4 linked regions of the Arabidopsis thaliana genome follow. The protein of the gene in region 1 interacts with the protein of each later gene in a pairwise test. Each region holds a gene or a part of one and is shown in the gene's direction. Other genes may lie near its edges.

Region 1 (5,896 bases):
CTACAAACTGCAACACAAAAAAAAAAAACAGAGCTGCTCTGTTTCTTTATATATGCTCTGTTCTCTCAAAAGTCAAATCAAATAAAACAGATTATCACTTTTCGGAGATGAAACCAAAGACACATGTGTGTGTATGAGGATTGGTAGTACGTAAATAAGAGGAAACAAGACAGAGCTCCTCTGTTCTTGTTCATAAGACAGAAGAACCAATAAAATTATTTGAAGAGATAACTTCAATAAAAAGGAACCAACTATTTTTGGAAGTTTATGGGAAATAAAACTTTTACCGGAATTATAGGAAGTGATGTAATAACAATAATAATAATAATAAAAAGGGATTAAGGTGGATCGCACATTTTCGGATTTGATCTTCTTGGGAAGCTGCTTTGCTTTTGGAACAGAGTCACTGCTTTTGACTCTGTTTGTGTGTTTGTGAGAGGAGCTATCGCTGCAGTATTTGATATGTGGTGGGAATTTTTAAACATATTACATCAAAAACTTATTGCAAAACAATTATATAAAGGGAAAAGTATGAGAGACATTTAACGAATGTCGTGTTGTGGGGTTTCTTCTACTACATATGTGGTTGATTTCGACCTCGTATAAATTGTTTTTAATACTTATGGTAAATTTAAAGAATTCGGAATCTTAGTGACAAAGGAAATATTTTCGTTATCTTCTGAAATAATAGGATAAAACTGGATTATTGTCTAATGTCAACGAACGAAGATAACACTGAGGAAAAGTGTCTTCGTCAAATCGTTAACGGTTCATCTATCGAAATTCGACCTTATTTAATCGCATTACTCCAAATAGTAAAGATTGGTAAAAAAAATTTATCAACTTAAGGACTAAACGAAACTAAGTACAGAAAACATTTTAGTAGTAACAAAGTTCATGGTTTTATTCTTTAGAGGGATTTGATTGGCTTCCATAAGAGAATGAACTAATGATTGTTTCGTTGGAAGAAGTTTAAAGTAACTTGATCGTTGGTATTTGAGAAGTATTTTATGTATAATCCTAAAGACTTCAACAAAAATAAATAAAATATTATCCTAAAGTTAATTGTCAGAAACTTATAATAAAATTGTAAGATCTTTTGTTGTCGACAGTCGACGACAAATAAGATAATGCGTTTGTTGTTATTATCATAACTTATACCGTAAGTTATCAATATGAATCATATGATTTACAAGATAGACTCATCATAGTCATAGATCACATCGAGACGGAAGTTTTTTTAAGTTAAGAATGAAAAAGAAGGGAAGATAATTAAAATTATTGGCAGGGGAGCCTCGGAGATATCCCACATATGCTCAATTGTTGGGCTTCCAAACCTCTTATTTTATGTTGACTTGAGCATGCACCAACATGCATTAATATAAGTGTCATCGTATAAGTTATTAATGTCACGTCTCATCCGTCAAAAACACACAATTGTCAATCGTCCATATCTCTGCTAGGTATGATCAAACCCGACCACTCGTAAATCCATGTTATGAACTCAGATAATGTTATCTCTGTTAATATTTCTTGAATGTCCCAAAATTTAAGGGGGATGGCAATTAGGGAATGAACACTTCGATATGGTTCAAACCTTACGTTTCGCATCGATTCATGCTCTCGTCCCTATCTCCCCCACACCCAACACGTCGGAGCAAATCATCTGGTGTATTAACACTTTCATGAAGATTGGTCTCTATACAAGTAGAGAATCGTATATAAATAGTCATAGAGATAAGAAAGCTAATTAGATAAGGATCATCATTATCTAAATGACTAATTATAATTAGGAGTTATCTCAATACTTATCAAAAACTTTTGATCTACTTGCGTACGCTATATAGCTAGATTAACCACAAATCTTTTTCGAACATATCCGAATTTTCGCCTTTTTTATATGACGGTTTTTTCTAACGTATGATCTTTAGATATATCATGACTATACGTTCAATGAATACATGTTATTGTATAGTTAATATTTATGCTAGAAAAGTATAGAGTAATCTTATTATTTCATTGAATGTAAAACATAATCATCAAGAAAACTAATGCAAATAAAACAAATTAACAAAAAGGAGTAAGATAGGAAAAAACATAATCATGGATTAGGATAACTGGATAAGCATTGGATTAAGCAAAACGGAAAAAGGAAAAACAAATATTGTAGTATTTTAATAAATTACTTCAGTACAAATACAACCACATAATTAAGAACATAATGATTTTAAAAAGCTCGTAAGAATCGCCTACGTACTTAGTTGAATGTTTGAAGATTTGAAGAATAGACAACCTCCGAAGTATTTAAATTTTGAAAGAAGAAAAAAAAAACCGTTTGAGCAATCACAAAAATGTGAAAGCTGAGTTGGAGAAGAAAGGGTCCATTGGATCCCCTGACATGCTCACAACACACATGTGTCCCTCTGAGCTGTCTCCATTTTTGTTAACCCAACTTGCTTCCATTATTGTATCAATCTCACAACTCCAATTTCTTTTCACAATTAGTAAATAACTATATTAACAAATCTACAAAAAACTAGCCCCTATTTTAACCACTAGACCCAAAATTTTATAATTCCTTAAGGTGCCTATACTAATAGTAGCAAAATCACATTACCAATTATTTTGTTAATTGACCAAATTTTATCCAATAATCACATTACCAATTTTTCTAAAAGTGTATTTATGTTGTTCTTAATTTGAGGTGAAAAAAAATCCCCCTTTAAAAAGCAGGACCGGCCACAAATCCAACGGCCCAGATTAGATCTTGGTTCCAAATTTCACTCTTTTCCTCTAAAACGCATTTATCACTTTCCCTCATTAAACACAAAAACTCATTCATCGTCCTCTCTCGCTTGACCTACAACACCCGATTCTCTAATCGAAACCGTTTCTCTCTTTTTGATCAGATCTCAGATCTTTCCCTCTTTGATTCTTCTTCCTTAGATCGATTCTCTCTAGAAACAACAATGGCGTCTGGGCGTGAAGAGTTCGTATACATGGCTAAGCTCGCGGAGCAAGCGGAGAGGTACGAAGAGATGGTAGAGTTTATGGAGAAAGTCTCCGCCGCCGTTGATGGCGATGAACTCACCGTAGAAGAGCGAAATCTTCTCTCCGTCGCTTATAAGAATGTGATTGGTGCTCGCCGTGCCTCGTGGCGTATCATTTCATCGATCGAGCAGAAGGAAGAGAGCCGTGGTAACGATGACCACGTCACGGCGATCCGTGAATATAGGTCTAAGATCGAGACGGAACTCTCCGGAATCTGCGACGGAATCCTTAAGTTGCTTGACTCTAGACTCATCCCTGCCGCTGCTTCTGGTGATTCCAAGGTCTTTTACCTTAAGATGAAGGGAGATTATCACAGGTACTTGGCTGAGTTTAAGACTGGTCAAGAGAGGAAAGACGCCGCCGAACATACACTCGCCGCTTACAAATCTGCTCAGGTTTGATTCCGAATCTCAGATCTAGTTTATTTGAGTCTAGTGTGTGATCCGTGGATGGTGGTTTGTTAGATTTCCAGTATAATGAGACTTAAATTAGGGATTTGTGTATTCTCGAATAAGATCTTGAGATTGTCTAGGTTTTGAGCTTATAGTCTCTATGTGTAATTATCTGTGCAGGATATTGCTAATGCAGAGCTTGCTCCAACACACCCAATTCGTCTTGGTCTTGCATTGAACTTCTCTGTGTTCTATTACGAGATCCTCAATTCTCCTGATCGTGCCTGTAACCTCGCCAAACAGGTATTTCAATCTACTCATCTTTCAATTATGATAATGTGATTGGACTTGGTTTAACACTTGACCTCATTGGACATAAATTTGACTGGTTTTGTTGTTGTTATGTATCGTCAAGGCCTTTGATGAGGCGATTGCAGAGTTGGACACTCTTGGTGAAGAGTCATACAAAGACAGTACCTTGATCATGCAGCTTCTTCGTGACAATCTCACTCTCTGGACATCTGATATGCAGGTTTGTTCATATAATCCCCGCACCTTTGTTCTTTCTTTGTTTCTGTTATGGATGATTCGCATTCCATTGACTAAATTCTGTAACGGTGGGGATTATATTAGGATGATGCTGCGGATGAGATCAAGGAAGCAGCAGCGCCAAAACCGACCGAGGAACAGCAGTGATCTTTTGAGTGAAACTGCTAGTTTTCTTCTAGGGTTTGGAATTTCTTCTCTTTCTCGTCCATATGTTTTTCTTAATCCATCTAAGAGGTCGCTCTTGCCATTTCGCTCATCTTCAAAAGCTTATTCATTCATCATATTTGTGGCAAGTCTGAACCATCAATCATCTTTTTATCTCTTTTTAATTTATTTTCTCTTTTCTTATTTCTTTGTTGTTATCGATTTCAATGTCTGTGTAATCGAAACTTGCTTTCTTTTCTCATCAATTTGAAGATCATAAAGTCTCTTGTCTCTTATCTTGTTGCGTAGATTGATTGTTTATCAATTTTTAATTTTAAAAGCGGACTAGTTTATTGGACTGCGTAAAGCCAATTACTTTACCTGGTCTGAAATCAATCATCAATTTGATTATATAAAAATAAAAATACATTTCAAAAGAACTATTTAAGCAATAGACACTCGTTAGTCATTTGACACTTTACAGGTTTAAATTAATGATCTCGTCAGAGTTTGAAGTTTCAACTTAAAATGAAAGCATCAGAGCATAAAATTCAACCAAAGGAACAGTGAAGTGTTTGGTATAGCTAATCAACCAATCAAAAATTTAATACCCCATCGAATAGACGATGAAGAAAAAACTCTTGTATGCAATCTGATTTACAAAGAGATGAAATCATAATGGCAAACTTATAAAAATTGAATAGAGTTGCAAAAGTGTATTCCTTTCTTTTTCCTAGTCTTCTTTGTTTCTAACATGAACAAACCATGAAAACAAAAGAAAGTAAAAAAAAAAACGGATTTAAGTAATCTTTGAGTTAATTAACAAAAAAAAAAACAAATGATCCCACCACTCTCCACTAATGATGTACAAAAAGAACAAAGGGAATTTTGTCGCGACGGTCAAAACGACGACGTTTTCTCACTTTGACCGACAAGGGTTTCCGATTTTCTGATCAATGACCTTTGTATTTAGGGCTAGGAAGCGGCACCGTCGTCGGAGATACAGGGAACCCTAATTGACCTGACGATGGCGATAAAAGTATGCTCGGTGAGAGTAATCCGTACGGAGATTTAGGCGAACTTGAACATCCAAACAGTGGAGGCGCCGGAATCGATGTCGGCACCGTCTGCGAAACAGCAGAGGAAGGAGGAGGAGGATGTGGTGGTGGAAAACTGTTATGCTGCGATGGTGGAGCGTTTTCCTGTTGTTGGTACCAACGAGGTGAGACCAAAGGAGCTAACGGAGATAATCCAGAGAACTCTTTCCGATTCGAATCGATTGCGAACATCGAGTTCTGGAGATACCGCATGTACGAAGAGACCGGTGATTCCGCCGCCGCGTGAACCGGTGGTAACGGCGGGAGAGGAGAAAGCGGCGCCGTTGGTCGAAGGTTAAATCCAACGCCAGTCCAGTTTTGATTCATGTGATGAGAACCTTGAGGGATAAGTGCGTCATTTAGCAAACCAGGAGGACGATTGATAACGTGAACCAAAGGAGGAGGACGGATCCTATGTAGACGCGAACTCTGTTGAGGTTTAGGGTGATGAATCGGTTGTTGCGGCGGAGCAGAGATCCGTTCATGTGCAGGTGAACCGGTTAGTTTCTGAACAACATCTCTGAAATCGTTCTTGTTGATATTGTAAACAGGAGGTTGATGTTGATGGAGATTCCCTTGATTGATTTGCAGCGGTGGAGGAGGTGGAAGATCAATTTCACGATTCGCGACGGAGACGGAGGAGGAAGAGTTCGTCGGTTTTGA
Region 2 (6,119 bases), on another chromosome or scaffold:
TATCTTGATTTTTCAAAGTATAGAATCTAAAAAAAGCTATATGATATTAATTATCCAATTATATGATTGCATTTATGAGTTGATATGATATCTTTTGGTTGTTTCATAAAACAGAATCAAGAATAAGATGATCAATACCGAAATATATGGCTTCATCATCAAATATTATTTCACATGTGATTCTCCAATGTATCATTATTAAGAGTTGTTATACGAGGACCCATTTTTTTCGCAGCAATCAAATCAATTTGAGCTTTTTAATTAAAATCTTCAAAAATAATCTGAGAAAATCACAGCGTCTCATTAATTATTAAAAAAGTACTTCAAAAAAGTGGATATACGATTTTGAAATGATAACGATTTCCTGACGTCAGAAAAAATCCTATAACAAACATTAATGTTTTTTTTTGGTTAGTTAAGAGACAATAATATGTTACATCTACCAAAGAATATTCCAGTTAAGTTAGTTAATAGTTGGAGTCAAACTTAAACGAACAACGTCGCCTACAAATCTGGGGGTATAAGTTATAACCAACGGCCACCAACATGGGTTTTGATATCGTCCACCTGATTTTTATGTTAATATAACTCAATTTGATTGATTAAATATTATGCTCTTATACTAATCATTCTAGGTCCAAAACTGAATCACTCATTGCACATCATTTTTATGATTTTTATTTTGAAAATCTCATGTTTCAAGAAATATTTGTGCATTCTACTAGTAGCTTATTTTAAATAAAGTTTCGAGTTTATATAATAAACAATATGTTTATTTCTTTGATTTGTATACATTTTAAAAAAAAAAACAGGATGAAGATATATACAACTAAAGCTCAATTCAACTAGTAGGAAAATTGTATTCTACAAAAAATTTGTGTTTATGTTTTTATTATGATAACCATCCAAACTCATTATTTCACCCATGATCAAAGTAACTATATCAATATATCTGCAACAATATCTGACTCAACATTTATTTTTACATAAACTGCGGACCAACACAATTATGCTAAACTATCATCATTTATTCTATTGGTATTGGAGATCAGTCTACGTCAGTGAATACCGCATAATTCACATGAAACTAACTCCAAAACCCTTTAACCAAAAAAAAAAAAAAACTAATTACAACTCCGGTTAACCTGTCGATAATTACAAGACTGAAAACATCCTAGTCAGTAAAAAACATATTTGTATGTATCCGATCCCACCAAATAAATAAGTTGTTGTCAATGATAGAGGAAGAGAAAACGAAAAAAAATTGCGGACCAAGACATTTGGGACTACTAGAGTTTAGGGAGCATAAATGGTCCTATTTGACTTACCCTCTACCGTATAAATAAATGTATTTTAGCCGTATAAATGTATACATACGTAGATGCATAGGTATACAGGATTACTTTAGACGATTTGATGTCGGTATGACATTACATTTGACTCCCCTAGCTCCACTTGTCTCTGTTCATTTTTCTTGTATGTCATTTCCTTGTTTTCCAATTTTACGTTTACCACCCTATTTTATTTTGTTAATATTTTCTAAGTCAACGTGTTGACACTTAATTACAGAATCTGATAACTAAAGTTACATAAAATGCTCACAGTTTTTTTCAGCAAAATACTCACATTATACGACATATAAAATTTTAGCAGTCTATAAATAGTAATTATTTGGCATTAGTATTGGACAAGAAGTAGAATATAAATTAATGTTGGTTCTTTTTTCTATCCAACTTCACACAGCCAATTTTGTAGCTGACATCGTGAATGGACGACTAAACTAATCATAAGCATAGTGATTCAGTTTATACAACAACAACAAAAAGTTAATTACATTTGAGGTTTCTTTTTAAATTGCTATGTTTGGTCCCTAAATGATGGTCATAATAAGGACGGTCCGGCGGTGACGGAAACGCGTAAAGACTAATCATTTTAGTACTATTAATTTGTAGAATTATTATTAAATATGCTTGAATCCTAGAAAACGATCAAATAAATTTTGGAAAGAAGCTCAAAATGTGTTATTTAATTTTGTCCCTATGTAGAGCTGGTTTTTTTATTTTTATTTAAACATAATCCTAAGATTTATTGCTGTATGTGTGAATGCAATAATAAATAGAAACTCAATAATAGATCATTCTTATTTTCAAAAAGAAACAAGAACTACTGCAATGTTTTAATTGTTTATTTTGTATTAAATAATATAGCTTGTTAATTATTGGAGATCGCATTAAATAATAAAAGAAGTTGTCTCACATGTCTTGGAGAATATTTACTAAAAACTATGGTAATGTCTGGACGGTCAAAAAAGTCTCTCTAGTTTCTGATTCTGTTGTCACATTTTATTTTTGAAATTAAATGTCGTTAGATTATTATTATCTATATATATATATATCCCAACAGACCCATTGCTTCTCCAACCACATCTCACTCTTCACCAACTTAAACCCTAATTCAAGATCTCTTCTTTTCGTTCTCTCCTTCACCCACATTAGTCTTCTCTACGACCAAAATCTCTTGACTTTAAAAACAGAGAATGAAACAGCTTTCGACAAAAGTGACAAGCAATGGTCATGGACAAGACTCATCCTACTTCTTGGGATGGGAAGAGTACGAGAAGAATCCTTATGATGAGATCAAGAACCCTAATGGGATGATCCAGATGGGTCTAGCCGAAAACCAGCTATGTTTCGATCTAATCGAGTCATGGTTAACTAAGAACCCAGACGCGGCAAGTCTCAAGAGGAACGGTCAATCCATTTTCAGAGAGCTTGCTCTATTTCAAGACTATCATGGCATGCCTGAATTCAAAAAAGTAAGCTTCTTTCATTTTTCTCAAATTCAATAAAGAGAGTAACCTGACGTGTATCACAAGTAATGAATCCATTTCTCATGAACATTTTCTGTCATTTTTTACAGGCTATGGCTGAGTTTATGGAAGAGATAAGAGGAAACCGTGTCACGTTCGATCCAAAAAAGATTGTTTTAGCGGCTGGTTCGACATCTGCGAATGAGACTCTCATGTTTTGCCTTGCAGAGCCTGGCGATGCTTTCCTTTTGCCTACTCCTTACTATCCTGGGTAAATTACACTTCTCCTCTTTACTTGGATTCCAAGTAAACCCAATAGAAATATATGCTTACGTCTAGGCTTTTTTATGATTACAGATTTGATAGAGATCTTAAATGGAGAACCGGAGCAGAGATAGTACCCATTCACTGCTCAAGCTCTAATGGCTTCCAAATCACGGAATCAGCTCTGCAACAAGCTTACCAACAAGCCCAGAAACTTGATCTCAAAGTCAAAGGAGTTCTTGTCACGAATCCATCTAACCCACTTGGCACTGCGTTGACCAGACGTGAACTTAACCTTCTCGTTGACTTCATCACTTCCAAGAACATTCATCTCATTAGCGACGAGATCTATTCAGGCACTATGTTCGGGTTTGAACAGTTCATAAGCGTAATGGATGTCTTGAAAGACAAGAAACTCGAAGACACGGAGGTTTCAAAACGAGTCCACGTCGTTTATAGCCTTTCTAAAGATCTGGGACTTCCTGGTTTCCGTGTGGGAGCGATCTACTCCAACGACGAAATGATCGTTTCAGCAGCTACAAAAATGTCAAGTTTTGGTCTTGTTTCTTCTCAGACACAATACCTTCTCTCTGCATTGCTCTCCGACAAGAAGTTCACTAGCCAATACCTCGAAGAGAACCAGAAACGACTCAAGTCCAGACAGAGACGCCTCGTGTCTGGTCTTGAGTCTGCAGGGATTACTTGCCTGAGAAGCAACGCGGGTTTGTTCTGTTGGGTCGACATGAGACACCTTTTGGACACAAACACATTTGAAGCAGAGCTTGACCTCTGGAAAAAGATTGTTTACAACGTGAAACTAAACATATCACCCGGTTCTTCATGTCACTGCACCGAACCGGGTTGGTTTAGGGTTTGTTTCGCTAATATGAGCGAGGACACACTCGATTTGGCCTTGAAGAGGCTCAAAACTTTCGTAGAATCCACAGACTGTGGACGAATGATATCAAGAAGCAGCCATGAAAGGCTCAAGAGTTTGAGGAAGAAGACAGTCTCTAACTGGGTTTTCCGGGTTTCATGGACCGATCGTGTACCTGATGAACGATGAAATTATTCATCTCCCTAAGTTTGAGACGACGAACAAAAGAAAACTTCACGGTTTTTTCTTCTTCTTTATTTCCTTCATTTTTTATATTTTGGGAAAGTATTTTTAATTTTCCAAGATATCTATAATCATATCATTATATATGTAATATTTTTTTTAATGTTTGGGTGAGTCTTTAATTTATGCAATTTTTCGGGTGTAAAATTGTTACTATGTGTTATTATATGTTTTTAATGCACTCAATCCGAATGTGGATTTGCAGTGGCTATATATATAAATAAATATATATCCCGTTGTAATTTTAGTGAAACGTTTGTGTGTATTGTACCCATATATAAAAATGTAATTCACTCTTTTTAGTTTATATATATTTTGTTTTATAAATATGGGTTTCTTTAATTTTATGCTCTATCATTTGGTATAGTTTTTGAGTTTGTTGTGAGAATTCTCCTCTGACTATAAGGCTATAAAGATCGTGTTAACGTTGTTGGTTAAGGACGTTAGTTGAGGCATATCAAAAGGAGGCTTAATTTAATGTCAATTAACTAATTAATTAATCATTATATGGTAATATGGCGGGAATTGTCGAATTGGTCAACTGAGAAAGCAAAAGGGGAAAGTCAAAGGTTTTCCACTTAGGTGAATCAAGAGAGAAGGTATGATCTACTTGTCGAAAATATTCGATGAAGCCTAAATAATTTAGTTAAAAATCGACTAAAACCCATTAACAATTTCGGGGTAAAGGTAGCTTCTAGCGTTCTACGGCAGTAAAGTTTTGAGCTTTGAATAGGTACGTTGCATTGCGTAAGAATGTTCACGTCACATATTTGAACTAAAATTACAAGTTTACAACGAAATCCACATTTTTTTTTTGTATAATCAAAACTTACTCTATCAGGATTAACGTAATTATAAGAAAAAAATGAGCAACTTATGAGAAACCGAAATCTGTATATCGAGAGCCATGGTTGATTGATATATATGTTAAGGAGGATATGTCCCAATGATTACAATGATTATAGATTTATACATTACAATTCCAATCATCGAAATCAATAATTTTCAAAAATTTGAGGATGAAAAGGCTCCAATCATTTAAAGAGAAAAGTCTTTATAACCATTTTTTTTTTCTTGTGAAATTATTTCCCGAGGGATAAAGTAGAGGATAAAGTGTCATATCATCATAGGCTAATCATTATAGTATAAGATATAAGATACCGGTCAAATGTTATTATGCTAAGCCTATCACATAAAAAAAAAACTAAAAAAGTGCCATGAGCTTTGTTGGTACTACGAAGAGTAGACTACGAAATATATAATACAACTTTAGTAACCGATTTTGTTTTAATTTTAGCATGATACGCGGCTATACCGGCCGTAACGGCAAATGATCCTTACATGTGAACAGCATTAATGTGGTGGTTGAGTCCCCAAAAATCTGTCTCAATTAATTAACAATTCGATTATAAAAACTTAACAGAGATATGTAGTAGCAGTACGTACTTTGAAAAATAAGAGATTGAGAATTTGGTTGGATTTGAGAATCCGTGAATGAGTAATACTGATTAAGTAATATTCTACTTAAAAGTCTTTATTGCATATGACCGACCATAACTATACAAACTGACATTATGAAGTCGTTGTACCAGAAAATTTTCGTCATTGTCATGGTCGTAGTCTACTTGCTACTATAATAAGCGACATTGGAATGATATTTGATATTATCATTCCATAAATTGTTACGTCAACTGGTGCCACATACTAATCATATAGTTGGTAATGTAAGAATACGTTTTCTTGTAAAAATGTTTAAAATATTGTTTTACCCAGTTCTAAAAGTAGATATAGATTATGGAAGTTTATCTTTATCAACGTATTGTAAAGTAGATATAGATTATGGAAGTTATGTACATATGCATGTCAAGTTTGAACCAAAATTTCAGTCACGTGGGCTTCACGAGTGAGGCCATATAACTGCACATG
Region 3 (5,967 bases), on another chromosome or scaffold:
GTCGACAAAAAAAAAGTTTTTTTCTGTTAATTAGTTCTCCTCTTTTTAAAGTTTTAAATTTTTGATTTCATAACTCACTATTAATTGCGATATGTGGGGTCACCTAAGATCCTCCAAGAACTTATATTCTTGATGAACATATATTGTTCACAAATTGGAATCATAATCTTATCGTATGATTGTATGTATATGTGTCACGTAGTTGGACTTTTAACCACTATTAGATCTTTCCAAATATCCTCTCTCTTTTTTTGCTTCAAATTTGTTTTTTTTGTGCACACACATCTTATATTATTAATATATAAAATTGGATGAGCTTTATAAGAGTTTTAATTACATATAGGAAAAATAGAACTAATTAATAAGATTTAGATATATGTATAAACGTATTTATATATTGACATGTAAGTTTTAAAATAATATATCGTCATGGGAAATATTTTTAAAAATCTTAAAATACAGTATGGACTTATATATTCATACTAAAACCTAGTGGGGTTTTTTTTTGTGTGTACATGAAAAGTGGTAAAAGTATTTTCTCTTTTTTAATTTTGTTAGATTAAAAATATGTTAAGGTAGCTTGTTTTGTTTATCGTCATGTGTTAAAGTGTACTATATGGTAAAGATTTATACAGTAGCATGTGTAAGCGGGTTCATGAGTAGGAGAGAATTAAATTCTGCCTTAATTAAACAAAGGTTTCGATTAGCCGTACGTACCGCCATTAATAGGGAGCATAATTATCACCCATTAGGGAGCATACTTTGACCACTAGGGGAAAATTAGAAACCTATGGTAATCGTATTAATTAATACGGCCAAAATTAATTCTAATTAACATATAAAACTGTTTCCCACAACTAATTTTTATAGATATATCACCTTTTAGATAAAATATAGAAATTCTTTCTTCATATATATGTTACTAACAAATAAAAATCATACCGATGCAATGACCTACAATCTGACCGGTTAGCTCAACAACTCAGTATTTGAGAAATGTAATTTTGTTCGATTACCATAGGTTTTTATTTGTATAAATCTAAATATAATCATATTACTTCTTTTTTTATCGAAATATAATCATATTAACTCACGCGAAGAAACTATAATAATCCATCTGACTTCTGGTTCGTAAATATTGTCATACTTAATTAGAGACGAATTGTTCTCATGGTAATCAGCAAAAGATCGAATTTCCTAATTTCTAATACTAGTCCAGAAATATGGTATAGATTTTTATCATAATTTTTTTTGTCTAGATATAATAAAGTGTAAATGGATAGCCACCCACCCACTCCTCTCGTATAATGTAAATTTCTCATTTTTTTAATGATGCCAAATCCATATAATCGGAATTTCAACCACCGTATTTGGGCTATAGATCATAACTAAAGTTATGGAAATAAATGAATAAATTAAAAAATGTTAAGTAGAAAAAATAAGTATCAACAAGAGAGAAGGAAGAAGAAGACATAAGCTAACAGTTGTCCGAAATTGATTTTGGCAAAAGGTGATCTTTGATTTTGCTTAAAACATCGAATCAGAACATTTAATTTAGTTGTTTCCTCATTTCTTTCATCTATGGAGTTTAGTATACCCAATAAATTTGATTAGTTACTTATTCCAGCTCCTATTATTATATTTAACACACATAATGTAAAACAGACGCGTATAATTTATATAGAAACTGTATGTAGTTAAAAACGACATACTAGTACTGATGACTCTTTGTTTACGTAAATTTGTATTCTCAAAGAAAAAAAGTAACTACCTTTTGTTATGGTCTCTAAGAAAAAACAAAAGTACTTTACAGTTTTCTTAGTGACCATTCTGTAAGAATATCAAATAGTGAAAAATAGGTAAACGAGAATCTTTTTTTCTGTGTAACAATATTGTATTAGTGAAGGATTATTAATTACGAGACTATTATCTAAAACGCATTAGTGACCCTTTTGGATTTAAATCGTAGCAGCCGACTAAACCAAAATATTTAGAAAGTTTTCCAAAAACAAACAACATTAAAACACATTTAAACTCGTACACAATAATAGAAACTAAACTATTTTTAGCAGACTAAAGTCTAAACAACATTACGTTTAAAAATTGATAATCAGTGTTTTATAGAACTGGCGATCTCCTAAAGATGAACCACCGAGAAGTTTCAAGATAAAAACAAAAATAAAAATAGCCAAACACTCTTATCTATTCATCCATTTGCAGGTCAATGACACCGTATTTTTCCACAATCGAATCTTCCTTATTCTTTACACAAACTTCTTCTCTGTATGTAAGTAAACTAATATTAAAATTGAACTTGTCAAAGACTTTCCTCTTGGTCACGTCTGCTATATATACTCCTTCATTCACACAAATGTTTAACTCCAACACACTTCTCTTTCTCTCAACCTCTCTCCCTCTCTCTCTCCGATTGTGTTTTTAGAGCTGTCACGTGTCACGTGTCAGGTTCGAAGCTCTAAGAAAAAAATGGGTCTTCCTCTAATGATGGAGAGATCATCAAACAACAACAACGTCGAGCTTTCTCGAGTGGCGGTTTCAGACACTCACGGCGAAGACTCACCGTACTTCGCCGGCTGGAAAGCTTACGACGAAAATCCTTACGACGAATCTCATAACCCTTCCGGTGTCATCCAAATGGGTCTCGCTGAGAATCAGGTAATAAAATCTTTCATATAGTCAACTTTTTTTTATTAATTGTTATATATTGCGATAATGTATTAATTGTCTCTTTCGATCATTTTTTTCCTACAAACAGGTCTCGTTTGATCTTCTTGAAACTTACTTGGAGAAGAAGAATCCAGAAGGTTCGATGTGGGGATCAAAAGGAGCTCCTGGGTTCCGTGAAAACGCATTGTTTCAAGACTACCACGGTCTCAAAACTTTCAGACAAGCCATGGCTAGTTTCATGGAACAGATTCGAGGAGGCAAAGCTAGATTTGATCCTGACCGGATCGTCCTCACCGCCGGAGCCACCGCCGCTAACGAACTCTTAACTTTCATTCTCGCCGATCCTAACGACGCCCTTCTAGTTCCCACACCGTATTATCCAGGGTACGTCACACTTTATAATAAGATATATAATGAATTAAATTAAGAAATATGGTCATTCGTATATATGAAGATAAACTACAAAGAAATAGCTGCAACTAACTAACACCATTTAAAAGAAAGTTATAATCTAGCAAATCTTTTATTTTCGATATTTAATGCATTGTATTTACCGAACCGTTTATTTATTTCATTACAGATTCGATAGAGATTTGAGATGGAGAACCGGAGTGAAAATAGTACCCATCCACTGCGACAGCTCGAACCATTTCCAGATAACCCCGGAGGCGCTAGAGTCGGCGTACCAAACGGCTCGTGACGCGAACATTAGAGTCCGAGGAGTGCTCATAACCAACCCATCGAACCCATTAGGGGCGACGGTCCAAAAGAAGGTTCTAGAAGATCTCCTTGACTTCTGCGTACGCAAGAATATTCACTTGGTCTCAGACGAGATCTACTCCGGCTCCGTCTTCCATGCCTCCGAGTTCACAAGCGTTGCCGAGATCGTAGAAAACATAGATGACGTGTCAGTAAAGGAACGAGTTCACATCGTCTACAGTCTCTCCAAGGATCTTGGTCTTCCTGGTTTCCGCGTGGGAACTATATACTCGTACAACGATAATGTTGTTCGGACAGCGAGAAGGATGTCGAGCTTCACGCTTGTCTCGTCTCAGACACAACATATGCTGGCTTCTATGTTGTCGGATGAGGAGTTTACGGAGAAGTACATTAGGATAAACCGGGAAAGACTTAGAAGACGGTACGATACCATTGTGGAAGGGCTTAAGAAGGCAGGGATTGAGTGTTTGAAAGGGAACGCAGGGCTATTTTGTTGGATGAATTTGGGTTTCTTGCTCGAAAAGAAAACTAAAGACGGCGAGCTCCAGCTTTGGGATGTGATCTTAAAGGAGCTGAACCTGAATATATCTCCGGGATCTTCGTGCCACTGCTCGGAGGTCGGATGGTTTAGGGTTTGTTTTGCTAATATGAGTGAGAACACTTTGGAGATTGCGTTGAAGAGAATACATGAGTTCATGGACCGACGAAGGAGGTTTTGAAATGTTAAAAAAAAAAGTAAAGTAAATCCGTTTTTTTGGTGGTTAAATATATGGGGGAGGGGTAATTAATTTTTTAGGAAAGAGAAGATAATTAATTTAAACCCATTGATGTAAAATGGGTTTTGATTTGTTTCTCTTTTCTAGATATTATTGTTTGTTTTCTTGCTTGGACAAAGCAAGTTAATTTCATGTTCATCAAGGTTGATTTGTAATATTTATTGTTATAAACGAATTTTTTAAAATATAAAGCATTACAGAAACATCTCTATCGGAAAATTATCCCTATTACTTAAGTACGGCAAAAACAAATATATTTATATTGTTAAGATAATGATACACCTCGCAAATATATTATAGACAGTAGATACAGATTTACTTATTGTTCTTGAAGGTTATACATCTGTATGTAATATTTGTTGACTTTTTTGTCAAGTTAATATTTGTTGTCGTATACAGAAAATGGGTCTAAATAATTTTATTTCAATATGGTTATGTCATTGTTGTTGTAATTTTCTGTAAAGAGGTTAGTGTTGTTATGTGGTCGGGTCTTTTTTTGACTTGGTCACTGTACAACTCTAACAAGAAATGTGTTCTTTTTCTTCTCTTAATACTAGTTATCCGAATACACACACGGTTTCGATGAGATCGAACTAGTTTTGTGTGGCTACCAATTAGTGAGGTATTTATGACGATTTATGACAAAAAAATATTGAAACAACTATTATATTGTATTTAGGGTTACATGTATAATTTTAGGATTTTGATAACCAAATAATTAATTGCAGTAACAAATATTCTTAAATAAAACATTTTGATGTTTGTTCTAGATTAACATAATAGAAACCTTTAACTAATCATATAACTCGAAATATAATATCTAAATTACAAACAAATCAGCTTATAAAAGAAGTGCACATTCAAGTTTTCCGTACGTTACAATGAGAAATATATTTGTTGTGATATCATTCGGGCGATTTTTAAAATTTGGTCTACCAGATATTCATTTTCAATAACGAAATTTGAATGATTAAATTTTAAACAAATGGTTGATTCCTAGCTAAAGTCTCTAAGTTATTTCGTTTTCTTGGCCAAGTCGAGGTCGTATACCACTTGGTTGAATAAAAACAAATCAATTTAAGTGCAAAGACAATGGACCATTGTCAACGGTCTCTACTAAAATAATATAAATAATGCAAATTATAGTTACATGTATTCAACACACATATTTTTTTCTAAAAAGTGTATAAATATACAGTATTGTATTTGGAATGAGTTCATCTATACAATAATGACAGGGAATGCCGGAATGGTATCTATGGTATAGAAGTTGCATGCAACAGAACTATAGACATTTCTTACATCATGCACCTAGAACTAAACCAATCATGTTTAATACATCATTTTTTTTATATTAAAAACTTGCTTTAGATAAATCACTAGATCGAAAGTCAGGACTATAGTATATAGGTAAAGTTGAACCTGGCGAACTCTAAATTTACAATTGAATTCTGAATATTTTTCAATTGCACCAACATTTCCAAATTTATACGTATTTTTATAAATCCATATCATATATATACTTTGACTTAGTTAGTTTTTTTATGTTATGAGTATTTATTGCTTTCGTTATGTCATGCACAAATAATAAACATATACGTACATACTTTGACTTACATAGCTTATAGCTATGTATAAAATTAATGTTATAATACTTCAACTTACAGCTAATTAGGAGAAGTAGTATTTGATTTGACTAGTCCTTCCAAAGGAAACCCCCCTTAATTAAGCTTATTAAATTGAGTTTCGAAAGCGTCAAGGAAATTTAAGAATGTAAGACTAGTAG
Region 4 (7,382 bases), about 15 Mb from region 1:
ATATATATAATACAATCTGGCCAACATCTATTCATTAATATGCGAGAGTTTTTTGTGATTATTAGATATGCGAGAGTTATAAAGTAGAAATAGGTGTTTAAAGAGTGCTGAATTGCCATTTGTGGCAATAAACAATTTTCGCTTTTATGTTACGCAAATATTGTCAAAGTTTGATTATAATTAATGTTGAGATTGGAGGATTAATGACGTTATGACAACAAGTCAACAACTACGAGCTAAATAATCAAGTTAGGCGATCAATTGAGGTAAAATATCTCACAAGTTTGACGACTCATTTTTTAATGACTTTATTAAAAAGGAGAATAATAGTTTGGAAAATGACAAACCACCAAAAATGATAAAACAATGTAAAGAATAAACAAACGACCGCTTTTAGAAACGTCGTAAATATAATTTCTTCATATCACTCGTCCCTAATTCCCTATATTAACTATACTATATATATTGTATTGATTATCTTATTTGTAAAGTTAGGTATATAAAAATCATATATATTGAAACTGCTATATGCAAGTAGTCTTATTTAAGAAATTGTGCTATGAAATAGAAATTGTTGTATGGATAGTAATAGTCTTCGCAACAAATTTAGTTTTCATTGTTTGACACTTTAACATGAAAGGTTAGCATAAAAAAAAATAAAGTGGAAACTTGAAATCAACTAAATTTTCATGTTCCTTTTTAAAGTATAAAACTTAAACATAATATAAATAGTACCATATGATTTAAACTTAAACTGTCTTTTTTACTTTTTTTTCTTTCACAGATTTAATCTTCATCTCACATCTCAAAAGATAAATTTTTATTCTGCAGTAAAAAATTCATTAGCAAACTCTCTTTAATTAAATATCAAAATATGTTTTTTAATGTAAAAATATTAATTAATATCTTAAACTTTGTCTTTTTAGTGAAATATCTTATATATTATAACAGAAGAAGTATATATATATATATATATATAAAAAAAATAAAGATGTATATTGGTTACCCAAAATTAGAAGTTCACAAGAAAATCAATATTCAATATTTACTCAATGAAATTTTCAACAAAAAAAAGTCTTAAATAAAGAAAGATTTACCCACTGAATCTGCTGAACCCGTGGCTCCGTCGGTTTTGATTAGTCACCGCCATTCTTTCCGAAGAAAAACAATAATAACAGTAATACTAATATATAGGTGGCTGTAATGTTGCATCTTGATCAAAAAGAGAAATAATTTTGTAGTTATTTTAAGGAAAAAGATGAACGTGATCATTTTCCATCATTCAGTTTTTTTTTTTTTTTCATTTTCCAACATTCATACATAGGTATTTTAAACTTTTAGATGATTCAAGGAACTATTTTAGGTTATAATAATGTATACAAAAAATTAGATTACTCAATAATTAATATCTCATCAATATTGCTGAAAATCACATCTGTTAATTTTATCAAAAAAAAATATTACTAAAAAACAGTTTAATAAGAAAATATTACTGAAAATAACGTTTAATAAGAAAATAAATATTGTATGATTATTAGATTTTTTCTGATAATATGTTTAATTGATTTATCAAATCTCAAGAATAAAAGGAACGTTGTTCCTATGTTTAACTGAAGGATATAAGAACATTGATAAACTTCTAAACTAGAACCAGGGGTAAAAGGATTATCAAATCTCAATAATAAAAGGAACGTTCTTCCTATGTTAACACATTGATAATTCTTTAATTTACTGGTAAAAAATATACGGTTTACAAAATATATATATATATATATATATATATATATATATATATATATATATATACGGTTTTAATAGTTACCGATCACAAAAACTATTAAAATTAATAGTATGAAAATATTATCACCACGATTTTTGTATTACTAATTTTATTGCTCTTAATTATTTTGTCATCTTTTATCGTTATTTTTCCATTAAAAATAAATACGGCTTTGTGTCACGAATAAGAAAACATATTTTTTAGTAAAACAAATTCGACTAAAATAAAAAGGAAAATGTTTTGATCACATTTTTATATTGTATTACAGGAAATAACCAATGATAGATAATAATATATTATTCAATTGTCATCATTTCTTAGTTGACAAAAAAAAATCTATACATGTTTCCGAGACGTTAAAAGTATTTACAAAACTACTCCAACAATTCACATTTGTTTTATAACAAATAGGGACAAAAATGATCATTTTAAGCTTATTGAATAACTATGATCGTTTATTTTTGTCAAACAAATGGATGGTTTATTTAATTAAGTCAAGTCATAAGAAAAAATTAATAGTAAGTGTGTAAGAAAAAAATTAAAAAGTCACAAATGGTCCCATACGTGTGATTCGGCACGATACTTCCTAAAAGCATACCACTAGGCTCTCTCCTATATAACTTCATCTCCACCAACGATGCATTTTCGTCCTCAGATCTCATCTCACTCACAAGAGAGAGATAGAGAGAGAAAAAGGCTCTGCTTTCTACATTATTTACGATTATACACTTTCCAACATGGCGGCCTCTGTAGATAATCGCCAATACGCTCGTCTCGAGCCAGGTTTGAACGGCGTGGTTCGTTCTTACAAACCTCCCGTTCCAGGCCGGTCCGATTCCCCTAAGGCGCACCAGAACCAAACCACCAACCAAACCGTGTTCTTGAAACCAGCCAAGGTTCATGACGATGACGAAGACGTGTCGAGCGAAGACGAGAACGAGACACACAACAGCAACGCCGTGTACTACAAGGAGATGATAAGAAAATCCAACGCCGAGCTTGAACCGTCCGTTTTGGACCCGAGGGACGAATACACGGCTGATAGCTGGATCGAGCGTAACCCTTCCATGGTACGTCTCACAGGGAAACATCCCTTCAACTCCGAGGCGCCTCTTAACCGTTTAATGCACCACGGGTTTATCACCCCTGTCCCGTTGCACTACGTTCGTAACCACGGCCACGTCCCTAAAGCCCAATGGGCCGAATGGACGGTCGAGGTGACCGGATTCGTCAAACGGCCCATGAAATTCACCATGGACCAGCTCGTCTCCGAGTTTGCTTACCGCGAGTTCGCCGCGACGCTAGTCTGCGCGGGGAACCGCCGTAAGGAACAGAACATGGTGAAGAAGTCAAAGGGATTCAACTGGGGATCCGCCGGAGTTTCCACCTCCGTGTGGCGTGGTGTCCCTCTCTGCGACGTACTGCGTCGCTGCGGGATCTTTAGCCGAAAAGGCGGCGCTCTCAACGTCTGCTTCGAAGGGTCGGAGGATCTTCCGGGCGGTGCCGGAACTGCTGGTTCCAAATACGGAACGAGCATCAAGAAGGAATATGCCATGGATCCATCAAGAGACATCATTTTGGCTTATATGCAAAACGGAGAGTATCTAACACCAGACCACGGTTTTCCGGTTCGGATCATCATCCCCGGTTTCATTGGTGGCCGGATGGTTAAATGGTTGAAACGAATCATTGTCACAACTAAAGAATCCGACAATTTCTACCATTTCAAGGACAACAGAGTTTTACCTTCTTTGGTAGACGCCGAACTCGCCGACGAAGAAGGTACATAAAATCTTTTTGCTTCAATAAATCTCATTAAGATGAACTAATTGATATGTTTAAAAAGTCTCCGAACCTATAGGAGAAAAACAAAAACAGAAATCATATTAAAAAATGAAAAACTAATGTTGGTGGATGATGTCAGCTTCTGTGACTTACATAAATTCAAATTCAATGGTTTTGTTTTAGGTTGGTGGTATAAGCCAGAGTACATAATCAACGAGCTAAACATAAACTCCGTGATTACGACGCCATGTCACGAGGAGATTCTTCCCATCAACGCTTTCACAACCCAAAGACCTTATACTTTAAAGGGTTACGCATATTCCGGTACTTGTCCTTTTAACATTTTAATTTAATAAATACGTTATTTCATAGGATGATTTAATTTAATAGTAACAATAATCTTTATACAAAAAAAAACAGGAGGTGGAAAAAAAGTGACCCGTGTGGAGGTCACGGTAGATGGTGGAGAGACATGGAACGTATGTGCACTTGACCATCAAGAGAAGCCAAACAAGTATGGGAAGTTCTGGTGTTGGTGTTTTTGGTCACTTGAGGTTGAGGTTTTGGACTTGCTTAGTGCCAAAGAGATTGCTGTTCGTGCATGGGACGAGACTCTCAACACGCAGCCCGAGAAAATGATATGGAATCTCATGGGGATGATGAATAACTGCTGGTTTAGAGTGAAGACTAACGTGTGCAAGCCACACAAGGGAGAGATTGGGATTGTGTTCGAGCATCCAACGCTTCCTGGTAATGAATCTGGTGGATGGATGGCGAAGGAACGTCACCTCGAAAAATCGGCTGACGCGCCTCCTAGTCTAAAGAAGTCTGTCTCGACGCCGTTTATGAACACAACTGCGAAGATGTACTCGATGTCCGAGGTCAAGAAGCATAATTCGGCTGACTCTTGCTGGATCATTGTCCATGGACATATCTATGATTGTACACGATTCCTTATGGATCACCCGGGTGGTTCGGATTCAATCTTGATCAATGCTGGTACGGATTGTACGGAGGAGTTTGAAGCCATTCACTCGGATAAAGCCAAGAAGATGCTTGAGGATTACCGTATCGGTGAGCTCATCACCACTGGTTATTCCTCTGACTCTTCCTCGCCTAACAACTCGGTTCACGGTTCATCCGCCGTGTTCTCGCTGTTGGCTCCCATTGGAGAGGCGACTCCGGTTAGGAACCTCGCTTTGGTTAATCCCCGGGCTAAAGTCCCGGTTCAACTCGTCGAAAAGACTTCCATTTCTCATGATGTTCGTAAATTCCGGTTTGCTTTACCGGTTGAGGATATGGTTCTAGGCTTACCGGTTGGTAAGCACATTTTCCTTTGCGCCACCATCAATGACAAGCTCTGCCTCAGAGCTTACACACCAAGCAGCACCGTTGATGTGGTTGGCTACTTCGAGCTCGTGGTCAAGATTTACTTTGGCGGTGTCCACCCAAGATTCCCTAACGGCGGGCTCATGTCTCAGTACCTAGACTCTTTGCCTATAGGGTCAACTTTGGAGATTAAAGGACCATTGGGTCACGTTGAGTATCTCGGCAAGGGTAGTTTCACGGTTCACGGTAAACCAAAGTTTGCTGATAAATTGGCAATGTTGGCAGGTGGAACCGGAATAACTCCGGTTTACCAAATTATCCAAGCCATTCTCAAGGATCCAGAGGATGAGACTGAAATGTACGTCATTTATGCTAACCGGACCGAGGAAGATATTCTCCTAAGGGAGGAACTGGATGGTTGGGCAGAGCAATACCCGGACCGGTTAAAGGTTTGGTACGTAGTGGAATCAGCTAAGGAAGGTTGGGCATACAGTACCGGGTTTATTTCCGAGGCGATTATGCGAGAACATATCCCTGATGGATTAGATGGCTCAGCCCTTGCCATGGCTTGCGGACCACCACCGATGATTCAGTTTGCGGTTCAGCCGAATTTGGAGAAGATGCAATATAACATCAAGGAGGATTTCTTGATATTCTAGTCTAAAGCCAAGATATTTCAAAGTCAAAACGTTAAGTCGTCAAAAAGCCTAGTGTTATGATAGATTCTAAATAAGTATTGAGGGATTTGTTTGTATATAATGTTGGTTCTTTAAAGTCTTGGATTTGGAAATATAATGTGTTCGTTGTATTCACGATCGATATTTTTTTTCACAATAATATACAAAAAGTAATTTCAGAAATTTTTGTGGTTAGGTTATCGTACATTGAATTTTCTGCGTTTACTTCACATTATGAATATCAATTTGAATATGTTCATTTTTTCATATGTCTTTGTCGTTAAAAAATAAAATAAAAATTCTACAGCTATTAGACACCAATAATCATTTTCAAAGAGAATAAAGCCAAAGCGAAGTAGTTTCCTGTTGTGCAAGTTGAAACCAAACTCGTCCATTAGTTCCTATATTAATCTTCACCACATATATGATTTAAGATTAGGGGGAGTGAATTTACTTTTTTCATTTGTTTTATTAACTTGTAATTTAGAAGACTCTTCCTTTTTGGGTGATTAGTTTAACAATATATCAATCGTTTGAGAATCTTTAGAGTTTTCAGTTAATATTCAATTTGTTCTTATTAAAATTGTACATGTTTATAAAGTATGTTTCTAGCATCCAAACTCTTCTCCATTACAGGATTAGAATTTTAATACAGCATCACAAGTTATGTTCTAAGTTATCCAAAAGGAACATCATATCTATATAAAAATAGTGTGCTATTAAACCGATAGAAAATGTTACGATATATATATATATATATATCTAAATAAAATCATATATCAACGATTCATAACTTCAAGAACTTAAATAATGTCGACAGAAAAATGCAAAGATATATTTTCTAACATATAAAAATCGAACGGATGTAAAACGAATTGATGTTATTTCATTTAAAAATGTGTCACTCTAGAAATATGTAGAGATTAGTATACAATAATATGTTTTAGATTTATTGAATAGTGGAAGCTTGGAATACTATATGATCAACAACAACAACAAAAAATCTTCGGATGATTGATAATGCACCCATGATTTTATGATAGTATATGACTCAAAATATTCAACATAAATTCTATAAATTAAAAATCAAACAATAGTCGATATCTCCAATTCTGGAGGATCTAATGTAGAAGTAGTCTAATTTTAGTGTCCTTCAACTTAGTGATGCACATGAACTGGAGTTGAATTTATTATTATTCATTGTTTAGAAATTCTAAATTTGTTTTCTAAATTAAATATAGAAAAGCTCATTCAAAATAAATAATAAATTTAACTAAGATTAAGTCATCACGCATACAAAATGTATTTAAATAAATACCACATCTATTGGAACTAATAAAACTCCCCTAAACTCAGGAGAAAATATTATTTTGAATTGATGAGACGAGTAGTTCCTAATTGACTCTCAGATTTAAAATTAGTAAGCATAACATATAATTTGCTTTCAAACAATTATTATGATTTGTGATAATGACAGAAAATATGATTATCCTAAGCAAGTTGTTAGCTTTTGATAAAATAAAATAGCCAGCACACCAAGAATATTTCGAATCAATTAGTTTTTTTTTGTTAAAGGGTTTATATTTAATTAGTTTTTTTTTTGTTTGTTAAAGGGTTTATATAGTTATATTTTGAATCAATTAGTTTATGATATTAACAGTAAAATAGTATTCTCTCCATCCCACAAAAATGAATTTTCTAAAGAAAAATTTGTCCCACAAAGATAAAAGTTTTATATTTCCAATGTAAATTTTAGAATTATTTACCTGTTTTACCTATTAAATAATTAGATAAAGGTTATTATTATTTTT

What was found.
Region 2: the proteins of GRF2 (region 1) and ACS5 interact in a protein complementation assay, tested with the Arabidopsis thaliana proteins (one study listed by BioGRID).
Region 3: the proteins of GRF2 (region 1) and ACS7 interact in a protein complementation assay, tested with the Arabidopsis thaliana proteins (2 studies listed by BioGRID).
Region 4: the proteins of GRF2 (region 1) and NIA2 interact in a two-hybrid assay, tested with the Arabidopsis thaliana proteins (one study listed by BioGRID).

The regions. Positions count from the first base shown.
Region 1 is NC_003070.9:29,458,914-29,464,809, forward strand, and holds GRF2 (general regulatory factor 2), read left to right. Parts: upstream 1-2,477; 5' UTR 2,478-2,969; coding exon 2,970-3,446; intron 3,447-3,623; coding exon 3,624-3,746; intron 3,747-3,858; coding exon 3,859-3,975; intron 3,976-4,076; coding exon 4,077-4,139; 3' UTR 4,140-4,476; downstream 4,477-5,896. Other genes in the region: AT1G78310 (VQ motif-containing protein), read right to left, coding at 5,090-5,896. UniProt on the Arabidopsis thaliana protein: Is associated with a DNA binding complex that binds to the G box, a well-characterized cis-acting DNA regulatory element found in plant genes.
Region 2 is NC_003076.8:26,329,116-26,335,234, reverse strand, and holds ACS5 (ACC synthase 5), read left to right. Parts: upstream 1-2,422; 5' UTR 2,423-2,536; coding exon 2,537-2,815; intron 2,816-2,919; coding exon 2,920-3,080; intron 3,081-3,166; coding exon 3,167-4,139; 3' UTR 4,140-4,489; downstream 4,490-6,119. UniProt on the Arabidopsis thaliana protein: 1-aminocyclopropane-1-carboxylate synthase (ACS) enzymes catalyze the conversion of S-adenosyl-L-methionine (SAM) into 1-aminocyclopropane-1-carboxylate (ACC), a direct precursor of ethylene.
Region 3 is NC_003075.7:13,272,823-13,278,789, forward strand, and holds ACS7 (1-amino-cyclopropane-1-carboxylate synthase 7), read left to right. Parts: upstream 1-2,377; 5' UTR 2,378-2,484; coding exon 2,485-2,673; intron 2,674-2,773; coding exon 2,774-3,069; intron 3,070-3,265; coding exon 3,266-4,124; 3' UTR 4,125-4,366; downstream 4,367-5,967. UniProt on the Arabidopsis thaliana protein: 1-aminocyclopropane-1-carboxylate synthase (ACS) enzymes catalyze the conversion of S-adenosyl-L-methionine (SAM) into 1-aminocyclopropane-1-carboxylate (ACC), a direct precursor of ethylene.
Region 4 is NC_003070.9:14,156,100-14,163,481, forward strand, and holds NIA2 (nitrate reductase 2), read left to right. Parts: upstream 1-2,352; 5' UTR 2,353-2,517; coding exon 2,518-3,562; intron 3,563-3,748; coding exon 3,749-3,889; intron 3,890-3,985; coding exon 3,986-5,553; 3' UTR 5,554-5,839; downstream 5,840-7,382. UniProt on the Arabidopsis thaliana protein: Nitrate reductase is a key enzyme involved in the first step of nitrate assimilation in plants, fungi and bacteria.